Linked DNA regions of Oryctolagus cuniculus. The protein of the gene in region 1 interacts with the protein of each later gene in a biochemical or structural test. Links are inferred from orthologs where the notes say so. Each region holds a gene or a part of one and is shown in the gene's direction. Other genes may lie near its edges. The genes, in order: ERBB4, PTPN6 and ABL2.

Region 1 (3,649 bases):
CAGAGCTGAACTGATCCGAACCCAGGAGCCAGGAGCCAGGACTTTCTTCTGGGTCTCCCATGTGGATGCAGGGGCCCAAGCACTTGGACCATCTTCCACTGCTTTCCCAGGCACATTAGCAGGGAGCTGGATCTGAAGTGGTGCAACTGGAAACCATATGGGCTGCTGGCACAGCAGGCTGTGGCTTTACCCACTATGCCACAGCACTGGCCCTTGTCTGAAGCTTTTGATAACACCAATAAAAGATTTGGTTGATCCATTTAAATAGTGCCACTTGAATAATATAGTTTATTATGGGAAATTATGATTTCTTGTAAGACACATTTCAAAAATTAAAGATGTGACATTTATATACCTATATGTATACCTCCAAGTCTTGAAAATAACAGGTTGTGGTTTTTCAAGACACAACAATGACTTTGTAAAGTTAGAGTAGAATTGTTAAACATCCACATCAAATGATTCAAAAAATTTTTGGAGTGCCACAAGGTGCTTTCTTCCATGTTAATGGCATCATGAAATGGATAGGACAGATGAACAGATGATTGTTATTAGAAAACAATGACCATGGGGCCGGCGCTGTGGCATCATGGGTAAAGCTGTCACCTGCAGTGCCGGCAACCCATATGGGCACAGGTTCAAGACCTGGCTGCTTCACTTTCTATTCAGCTTTTTGCCATAGCCTGGAAAAGTAGTAGAGATGGTCCAAGTCCTTGGGCTCCTGAACCTGCATGGGAGATACAGAAGAATCTCCCGGCTCCTGGCTTCGGGTTGGCACAGCTCCAGCTATTGCAGCCATCTGGGGAGTGAACCAGTGTATGGAAGACCTCTTTCTCTCTGCCTCTCCTTCTCTCTCTGTGTAACTCTGACTTTAAAATAAAATAACTAAATGTTTTAAAAAAAGAAAGCAATGATCATGTCTGTCAGAGTCTTCAGTGGCAGCTTCAACATCTATTTTATGGCTCAGTATGGGTCCTTTTCTATGTGGTTATGTTCACTTATCAAATATAATTTAGAGATTCCCTAAATACATATTATAAATTCAAATAATCTGTCAAGATATAGAAAAGTTTTAATTTAATGATGAACTGTATCTTGGTGACACATATGTAGGTTTTCTGAAGATTTGGCAGATTGTCTTGAAAGCAGACTCCTCTCTGGAAAGATTGTCATTCAACCATAATGTTTTTTCTCCATATATAACCAGATGGTTACATAAGTTTACATGAGGACAATAGATGAGTAGATTGTATTCACAAAAGAAAATACAAGTTTACTATTTATAAAGCTATAAAAGTAAAGGTTGCACCTCATTTTTCACAAGATAGTCATTTGGGATCAATAGTGTTTTAGAAATTATTGAGCTTTCTTTAATTCATTTGTATATATTTATATGAATCTAGGATATTCATTATTGCCTTTCGACTTTCACAAATGATGCTTAATGATTAACTTTATCAAAATGCTTATATTCAGAGCTTGATTGAATTTTTGTCTTCTACATGTTGTTGGGCTAAGTATAGGGTTTAGAAAGTTTATTTCAGAATGATGGCATCTGAACAAAGACTTGTGCCATATCCATGTTCTGACTCAAAAATAGGAATAACTTAGTGTTTTGTGTATGCAGTAAAAGCAAGGACCAAAAAAGGATCTGCTCCATCTGTGTGTATATGTTTATATGTCATCTATATTATATACATAGAGATGCAATTAAGCTTGAGGAGAGCAGCATTAATTATCATCATTTTTGTATTTTAGGCTAATACTTATTATACCAGATGGATTTAGTAGACTGAGCCATACAAAAATAGGCACTAAATGACTGGTTCAAGATACAAAACAGCTATTTAATATGATTCAAACTTAGTTTGCTATTTTTCCATTATGATTAAATATTGAAAATTATTTTTGTAATTATACTTTCTTATTAAGCAGTTTCATATATAAAATCCAGAGAGCCAACTAGAAAATATTAGATGTTTTCATTCATTTTTTTCTTTAGATACTCTTCTTCCTACATATAAAAGTTCAGTGGGATCCTTGTTACTTGTACAGACATTCACAGGAAACCATATAATCTGAAACAACTATTTCTTTACTTTATTTCTTCAGTGTGGTGTAGAGTTAAGCTATTAATCCTTTGTTTTACCATATGCTTTATAAGAATTCTGACTTCTCTACATTTTTCTAGCCTGATAGGTAATCTTATTTTCTAATATAAATTACTGACTTCTAGAAAAAAGAAGCATTAAAATAACTGGTCCCATATGTAGGAAAGACAATTAAGAAGAAAAGAAAAACAGTCTGGGAGATAGGAATTCTGATCCTCACCTTGTTGTTGCCTTGCTTTGTTATTAACTTTGTTATTTCTGGTCCACGTAAACATTTTTAGTAATCCACAAATAGCTGTGAGAAACAAGTGTGCCACTTTCTTGTTCTCAACAAACAAGTTGACCTTTGTTTATAACCTTCATCTGACAAACGCTTTCCAGAGAATATATGTTAACTGTTATTTTTGTGTCCCTTCAGAATACCTGAATCCTGTGGAAGAGAATCCTTTTGTTTCTCGAAGAAAAAATGGAGAACTTCAAGCTTTGGATAATCCTGAGTATCACAAGGCTTCTAGTGGTCCACCCAAGGCAGAGGATGAGTACGTGAATGAGCCATTGTACCTCAACACATTTGCCAATGCCTTGGGGAATGCGGAGTACCTGAAGAACAACGTACTGTCTGTGCCAGAGAAGGCCAAGAAAGCATTTGACAACCCTGACTACTGGAACCACAGCCTGCCGCCTCGGAGCACCCTTCAGCACCCAGACTACCTGCAGGAGTACAGCACAAAATATTTTTATAAACAGAATGGACGGATCCGGCCCATTGTGGCAGAGAATCCTGAATACCTCTCTGAGTTCTCACTGAAGCCAGGCACTGTGCTGCCTCCTCCACCCTACAGACACCGGAATACTGTGGTATAAGCTCAGCTGTGTAGTTTTGAAGTGGAGAGACAAGCCCACTCCAGTTTCCACACCCCCTCTCTTGCTCTGGTGTCCTTCCTCCTATCCCTAAGGCCAGTAGTTCTGACACTTCCCCGTGGAAGACATAGAGATGCAATGATAGTTATGCGCTTATGTAACGTGAACATTAGAAGGAAGGGCTGAAAGAGGAAGATAGGTGGAACTTCACTGTTTCTTCATTTCTCTGCATGGGTTGGTAGCAGAATGGAACAGCTAGAAAAGGACCCGAACATGTGAGGCAGTACTGCCTGCTGCCAAACTAATTCTCAGCTCTTTTTTTCTTTCTTTTAATGTAGAGGGTTGAAACACCTGTACTATCTGTTCCTATCTGTAGGAACTGATGTATGCATAATCAACACCTCTGAAATCATAATAAAGTTTCCATCAGAACAAAAGGATAGCCCTTTCTAATATAACATACACTAGTAACCGAGATAGAGAATCCTATTTCTTTTGCCAACAGTCTCTATCTTAGGAAGTAAGAATGGCCAACCAGTTTTTAAGTCTCTATCAAAGTTTGAAGCAGTAATTATGTTTTAAAGCCTATTCTTTTAATTTTGTTTTTGCTTTGACGTGGTCCTAATATTAGTTTCTTTCCTATATTTGCCTTTAAGTTCTAACTGCAAGGATATTTA
Region 2 (3,649 bases), on another chromosome or scaffold:
GGGCAGAAAGGGACCTTAGGGGGTGAGGGTTTAACCCCTGCTGGGAGGAGGGGTGGCAACGCTGTGACGCAGTAGGTTAACCCTCCGCCTGTGGTGCTGGCATCCTATATGGGTGCTGGTTCTAGTCCTGGCTGCTCCTCTTCTGATCCAGCTCTCTGCCATGGCCTGGGTAAGCAGTGGAAGATGGCCCACGCAGGTGCAGGGGCCCAAGGACTTGGGCCATCTTCTACTGCTTTCCCAGGCCATAGCAGAGAGCTGTATTGGAAGTAGAGCAGCCAGGACTAGAACTGGTACCCATATAGGCTGCCGGCACTGCAGGTGGGGCTCAGCTATGCCACAGCGCCAGCCCCAAGCCCCATGTTTTAAACTGTCCTTCCCCTTACCGTGTTTGGAAGCAAAGCTTACTGCTGCCCATTCCCCATGTGTCCCCCTGCAGGCCCCTCTTGTTCTGTCTCATAAATGGCTCTGGAGCCCACCCCTTACTCTCTGGGCTCGCCCTTCCATGGCACCTCCTGTCCTGCAGCCAAAGTGACCCTGCCCAAAGCACACAAACTTGACCCCATGGCTTCCTCTCTGGAAACCCTCTAGTGGCTCCCAGCTGCCCTCCACCTGAGTTTTCAGTGTAAGGCTGGCACCCGTGGCACCCACCATCTCCCGTGGGTCAGGCTCTTCAGGCTTCTGTGGCTTTGCCCAAACTCATTTTATTCTCTCCCCATACTGTCTCTGTCTTGTCTTTCTTTCTTTCTTTCTTTCTTTCTTTCTTTCTTTCTTTCTTTCTTTCTTTCTTTCTTTCTTTCTTTCTTTCTTTCTTTCTTTCTTATTTACTCATTAGGGTCGGTGCTGTGGCCTAGTGGGTAAAGCTGCCGCTTGAGGTGCCGGCATCCCATGTGGGGGCCGGTTTGAGTCTGGCTGCTCCACTTCTAGTCTGGCTCTCTGCTATGGCCTGGGAGAGCAGTAGAGGATGGCCTGAGTCCTTGGGCTCCTACACCCACGTGGGAGACATGGAGGAAGCTCTTGGCTCCTGGCTTTGGGTCAGTGTAGCTCTGGCCGTTGTGGCCAATTGAGGAGTGAACCAGCAGATGGAAGACTCTCTCTCTCTGCCTCTCCTTCTCTCTCTGTATAGCTCTGACTTTCAAATGAATAAATAAATCTATTTTTTCTTTAAAAAAAAAAAAAGGTTTACTTATTTATTTTTTGAAAGGCAGGGTTACAGAGAGGCAGAGGCAGAGAGAGAGAGGTCCTCCATCTGCTGGCTCACTGCACAGATGGCCGTAATGGCTGGAGTTGGGTTGATCCAAAGTCAGGAGCCAGGAACCCCCTCTGGGACCCCAAGCGGGTGCAGGGGCCCAAGGACTTGGGCCATCCTCTACTGCTCTCCCAGGCCATAGCAGAGAGCTGGATCAGAAGTGGAGCAGCCTAGACTTGAACTGGCGCCCACAGGGATGCTGGCACTGCGGGTGGTGGCTCTACCCACTGTGTCACAGTGCCAGGCCCTCTGCCTCATTTTTGAAGACCAGCTCAAGTGCTGCCTCCTCTGTGAAGCCTCTCTGATTGCCTCCAGAGCCCAGGGGGGAAATTAGCCCCTTCTAGTGTGTTCTGTTTGTTCTAATTTTCCCTGCTCCCCAGTCCTTCTTGAGCTTCCGAGGTGCAGGGCACAGGTGGGGTCTCCTTTATATTTGTAACCTGCATTGACGTTTATTCTCCCAATTGTACGTGGCTGCTCAGGTCTCACCGTGTTGTCTGAGCCAAGACCAGATCCTAGGTGGCCCGACCGACCGCCAGCTCCAATCCCTGGGCCTCATTCCCCACCTCTACCCGCCCCTCCCTTCCAGAACAAGTGTGTCCCCTACTGGCCTGAGTTGGGCACCCAGCGTGTCTATGGACTCTACTCCGTGAGCAACTGCAGGGAGCACGACACGGCAGAGTACAAGCTGCGCACCTTACAAGTCTCCCCGCTGGACAACGTGAGTGTCCCCCGCCTCTGGCCCAACTTCCAGAGCCCCTGCTTGGACTTGCTGCCGTGTCTGGCTGGGTGGGATGAGGCAGGAAGAGGTGTCATGTGAGAGTTGGGAGCTCTGACCCTGTGTCTTCCATCCAGGGGAACCTAGTTCGGGAGATCTGGCACTACCAGTACTTGAGCTGGCCTGACCACGGGGTGCCCAGCGAGCCCGGGGGTGTCCTCAGCTTCCTGGACCAGATCAACCAGCGACAGGAAAGTCTGCCTCACGCAGGCCCCATCATCGTGCACTGCAGGTGAGCATCGTCTGAGGACGTCAGTCATAAGGAAAACAGCCGTGGAGAAGTGGCTGTTGCTAAGCACCTGTCGTGCACTGTCCTGAGCACCTTGCAGATGAACTCTTTAAAAAAAAAAAAGATTTATTTATTTGAAAGGCATAGTTATAGAAAGTAGGGGGTGGGGAGAGACAGAGAAGTATCTTCCATCTGCTGGTTCACTCCCCAAGTGGCTGCAATGGCTGGAGTTGGGCTGATCTGCAGCCAGGAGCCAGAAGCTTCTTCTGGGTGTCCCACGCGGGTGCCGGGGCCCAAGGACTTGGGCCATCTTGTACTGCTTATAGAGAACTGGAGTGGAGGTGGAGCAGCCAGGACTCCAGCCACTGCCCCAGTGGACACCGGTGCCGCAGGTGGCTGCTTTACCCAATACACCACAGCGCCGGCCCCACAGATCAACTCTTTCAGTGCCTTCTCCAACTCTCAGCCTCCTCGGCCCCCATCGCCTGAGACTCCACCCTCAGCCTGGGTGTGTCTCCTCAGGACCCCTCCCCTGTATGGAAACCGAGCCCCAGCAACCTGCCAGGTGTCAGCGGGAGGGCTGGCCTTGGCACTCACCGTAATCCCAGGTCATGGCAGCCCCTGTTTTCCCTCATGGCCTGCAACTGGCCCCCAGCACCTTCCCTCTGGGGTCAGTGTGGCCCCATCCCTCCTCTTTTTCCCTCTGCAGCCTCGGGCTTCTTCTTTGCCCCTCCTTGTCTCCCCCCTTCCCCAGCCAGAACCCCCCATCTTGGCCCGCAGTGAGGTGTGGGGATGGCGGTATCTTTGGGAGGGGCACACGCACCCCCAGCTCCTCTGCACACTCTCATGTTCAAGGTCAGGGGAAGTGGGGAGGCGGGGGTTCCATAATAGCCCACCGAGCCCAGCCTGGGCACATTGGGGGTGGTGGGGATGGGTCTGGGATGCGGGCCACCTGTTTCAGTCTGGTGCCTCCTGCTGCCAGCTGTGTGATCCGGGGCAAAGAACTTAACTTCTCTGACTCCCACAGTCCTCTTCTGTGCACTCAGGATCTCAGAGCTGTCATGAGGCCTCGGTGAGGCCTCCGGGAGCTGTTGGCGGTGGTTTTGTAACTCACTGTCAGGCAGGGAGTGGGGCAGTGTGAACCGGCTTTGTCTTCCCTTCCCGCTCTGTCCATGTGCCTCCAGGCCCATGAGGTCTTTAGACTGCCTCCTCCCCACCAGCGACTGTGTGTCCCCAGGCAGGCTGGATGGGCTGGATCCCGGATGGGCAGGTGCCCACGTGTGCTATCTCAGGGACCTGGCTCTGCCCTCCCAGGCTCAGGCCCATCCCCGAGAACTGTCCTCTGCGGGCCTCCGTTCCTGGCCACACACACATTCACACAATTCTTGAAACCCCCATG
Region 3 (3,649 bases), on another chromosome or scaffold:
ATGTCCATATCCCATGTCGGAGTGCCTGGGTTTGAGTCCTGTCTCCACTGCAGGTTCCATCTTCCCGCTAATGGGCGTGCTGGGAGGCATAGTCGATGGCCCAAGTACTGTGTGTGTCACCACATGGGAGGAGCTGCTGGAGTTCCCAGGTCCTGGCTTCAGCCTTGCCCAGTGGGCATTTTGGGGGCAGAGGAGGGTGAGCCAACAGAGGGAAGATCTCCCTGTCTATATATCTCTGTCTTTCTGCCTTTGATGTAGAAGTTAATTAATTATTTATGGTCGTCTTAGCCCCTTATGGAGTTAATACAAGTAAATCCACTTCTGCCCAAACAGGCGAATACTCAAAGGCATACGAATTTCCAGAGAACAGCGTAGTGAAGCAGAGACTCCCTTCTCAGTTTTCTTTATTTCTTCCTCTCTCCCCCCGTCCTTCTCCTCTCCTCTGTTTTTCCTTTTCTTTTCAAGAAAGGCTGGGAGCCAGAGATCTTCCATCCATTGGTTCACTCCTCAGATGTCTGCAACCGCTGGGGCTGAGTCAGGAATCTGCCTCCCAGGGTACATCTTAGCAGGAAACTGGAATCAAGAGCAGAGCTGGGACTTGCACCCAGGCTCTCCAGTGTGGAATGCAGACACCCCAAGAGGTGTCTCCACCACAGGTCAGGTGCCTGCCCTGAGCCAACGTCCTGAATTTTGCTGTATTAATTGCAGAAAATGAGGTGCTAAGAAGGGGAAAGATTTCACCAAGCTGGTGAGCAAACAACAGAACTATGAAATGGATTGTTCTGCGTACGCGCTAGTAAGACGAGCTCTGTTCTCCAATGCCAGGCGTGTGCACCCTGGAGCCGCCCTTTTACATTGTGACCGAGTACATGCCGTACGGGAACTTGCTCGATTACCTCCGGGAGTGCAGCCGTGAGGAGGTGACGGCCGTGGTGCTGCTCTACATGGCCACGCAGATCTCTTCTGCCATGGAGTATTTAGAGAAGAAGAATTTCATCCATCGGTACGTACAGCCTGCGTGCTGCCCGTGATGAGGAGATGAAGGAGCAGAGACCCTTCCGGAAGTTCTCAGATGAATCCAGGCAGTAATTACGTCTTTGAGGAGGCCCGTGATGTCCTTTCCAACCTGCAGTCCCACTGCTCTCTGATCAAAGTGCCGTGCTGAGCCTTTGTCAAAACAAAGGGTTTCTATTGCTCAGCACCAAGGCCCTTTTGCTCCCTCTAGTGGCTGAATTGTAAGGTAGCTTTCTGTTTCGATGAAGGACCTAAAACCTTAAAGAAAAGCAGCTGTCGCTCACCTCTGACACCTGTCCCAGCTTCTTGTCACCTGGAACCCATTTCACAAAGTCCCTTTACTTCAGAACCTGCTTAACTGCCTGTCACTGAGTACTCTGAGATGTGTAGTCAGTGACTTTGTGCCATGTTAGTGATTGTCAGCACTTAGCAGCTCTTGTAGCACAAGAGAATAAAGCGTTTGTGACCACTTTGCTCACCATTTGAATGGAATCACATCAGGGTTCTCTATCCCACAGAGATCTTGCAGCTCGGAACTGCCTAGTGGGAGAAAACCACGTGGTAAAAGTGGCTGACTTTGGCTTGAGTAGACTGATGACTGGAGACACCTATACTGCTCATGCCGGAGCCAAGTTCCCTATCAAGTGGACAGCACCAGAGAGTCTTGCCTACAACACCTTCTCAATTAAGTCTGACGTGTGGGGTAAGCTTGCAACACCCACTTTCCTGCTTGTGCCGCTTTTCTTCATTATAAATGCTCTCGATCCCTTAGAGTCTTTTTTATGTGATACTCAGAATTCTCCGCCTGATCTCCCCCTTCTTGCATCCCTCCTGTCTGCCAAGCACTGTGTGAGGAACTTAGTGCAGGAAGAAGCATAAAGAAAAGGTTTACAGGGGAAGTCCCTGCCTTCAGAGAGGTCACAGCCATCCAGGTGTCCCCTGTCGTGAAGCTGTGACCCCCTCTCTCTCTGCCTTCCACCTTGGGCTTCGTCACGCTCCCGCAGCTCGGGGATACAGGGCCCCCTCTCCACCTGCATTTTTCCTTGTAGCAGAGCTGCTTTCTGGCAGCCTGAAGGGCAGCGAGACTTTGTAGGGAGGTCTGCACTGTGAGCCGACCGAAGTGGCTGTAGCATTCCGAGTCATTTTATCCAGCAGACTCTTAGAGTGTGACAACATTGAGCAAATTCTTTTTTCTGTTGTAGATTTTATGTATTTATTTATTTCAGAGGCAGAGAGAGAAAGCTCCCATGTGCTGGTTCAGCAAGGGCTAAGACAAGGTTGGGCCAAAACTGGGAGCTGGGAATTCAACCCAGGCCGCCTATGTGGTGGCGGAACCCAAGCTCTTGAGCTATCAGTGTGGCTCTCCAGTGTCTGCAGTAGCAGGAAACTGTAGTTAGGAACTAGAACTAGATACCAAACCCAGGCATTCGTGTAAGGCAGTGGGCATCTCAACCTGTGTCGTAACTACTGGGTTAAATGCCTGCCCCTTAGGAGCGTTCAGATGGATCTTTTAATTTCAGTCCTCTGATATTAGCCGACTGGAAAATTGTGAAACAAAGTAGGCATGTCAGACACAGTTCTGAGAATAGCTGGATTCTGCCCCCTCACTTCTTACATGGTTATAATTTGTTGTCCCTCATTGGAATTTTAAAGGGTATGGAAATAAAAATTGTTAGCTTGATATATTTTTAAAAGATTAATTTCTTTATTTGGAAGGCAAAGAGAGAGAGGGAGAGAGAGGGAGAGAGATCCTCTCTCTGCTGGTTCACTCCTCAGTGTCTGGGTCTGGGTCTGGACCAGGCTGAAGCCAGGGGCCTGGAGCTATCCTGGTTTCCCACAGGGGTGGCAGGAACCAAGTATTTGGGCCATCTGCTGCTGCTTTCCCAGGTGCACTTCTAGGGAGCTGGATCAGAAACGAACAGCCGGGGCTCAAAGCAGCACTGTCACAGGCGGCAGCTCCACCTGATGCACCACAACTCCGGCCCAGGAATGGGAATTTCAAAGAAAACTGTTCTGAGAATTATCTGCAGTATTCTGGGAGCAGATACCTTCTAGGACAAGTGAGACTGTAAGAACTGGGAAAAGGATATATTAGTGTTGTAATAGTGGATAAACATTACAAGTTAAGAGAGAGATTAGCTCATAACAGAAGTAGTAAATCAGAAGTAATATTACAGGGTTGGCACTGTGGTGTAGCCGGTAAAGCCCCAGCCTGTAGAGCCAGCATCCTTTGTGGACACCAGTTCAAGTCCCGGCTGCTCCACTTCCGATCCAGCTCTCTGCTATGGCCTGAGAAAGCAGTAGAAGATGGCTCAAGTCCTTGGGCCTCTGCACCCACGTGGGAGATCCGGAGGAGGCTCCTGGCTCCTGGCTCCTGGCTTCAGATCAGCCGTTCTGGCCGTAGTGGCCAACTGAGGAGTGAACCAGCTGATGGAAGATCTCCCAACTGAGGAGTGAACCAGCTGATGGAAGATCTCTCTCTCTCTCTCTCTCTCTGCCTCTCCTTTTCTCTCTTTGTAACTCTGCCTTTCAAATAAAATAAATAAATCTTTTTAAAAAAAATTGTAATTCTATAAAAAAGAAGAAGTAATACTACTTTTTTAAATCCCCTTTGCAGCTTTTGGGGTACTGTTAT

The links.
Region 2: the proteins of ERBB4 (region 1) and PTPN6 form a complex in vitro, tested with the Homo sapiens proteins (2 studies listed by BioGRID, with this or other methods). The link is inferred for Oryctolagus cuniculus from reciprocal best matches to the Homo sapiens genes ERBB4 and PTPN6.
Region 3: the proteins of ERBB4 (region 1) and ABL2 form a complex in vitro, tested with the Homo sapiens proteins (2 studies listed by BioGRID and IntAct, with this or other methods). The link is inferred for Oryctolagus cuniculus from reciprocal best matches to the Homo sapiens genes ERBB4 and ABL2.

What each region holds. Positions count from the first base shown.
Region 1 is NC_091434.1:28,236,334-28,239,982, forward strand, and holds part of ERBB4 (receptor tyrosine-protein kinase erbB-4), read left to right. Parts: intron 1-2,529; coding exon 2,530-2,975; 3' UTR 2,976-3,649. UniProt on the Homo sapiens protein: Tyrosine-protein kinase that plays an essential role as cell surface receptor for neuregulins and EGF family members and regulates development of the heart, the central nervous system and the mammary gland, gene transcription, cell proliferation, differentiation, migration and apoptosis.
Region 2 is NC_091440.1:102,583,690-102,587,338, reverse strand, and holds part of PTPN6 (tyrosine-protein phosphatase non-receptor type 6), read left to right. Parts: intron 1-1,832; coding exon 1,833-1,964; intron 1,965-2,098; coding exon 2,099-2,253; intron 2,254-3,649. UniProt on the Homo sapiens protein: Tyrosine phosphatase enzyme that plays important roles in controlling immune signaling pathways and fundamental physiological processes such as hematopoiesis.
Region 3 is NC_091438.1:7,315,572-7,319,220, reverse strand, and holds part of ABL2 (tyrosine-protein kinase ABL2), read left to right. Parts: intron 1-825; coding exon 826-1,003; intron 1,004-1,532; coding exon 1,533-1,717; intron 1,718-3,631; coding exon 3,632-3,649. UniProt on the Homo sapiens protein: Non-receptor tyrosine-protein kinase that plays an ABL1-overlapping role in key processes linked to cell growth and survival such as cytoskeleton remodeling in response to extracellular stimuli, cell motility and adhesion and receptor endocytosis.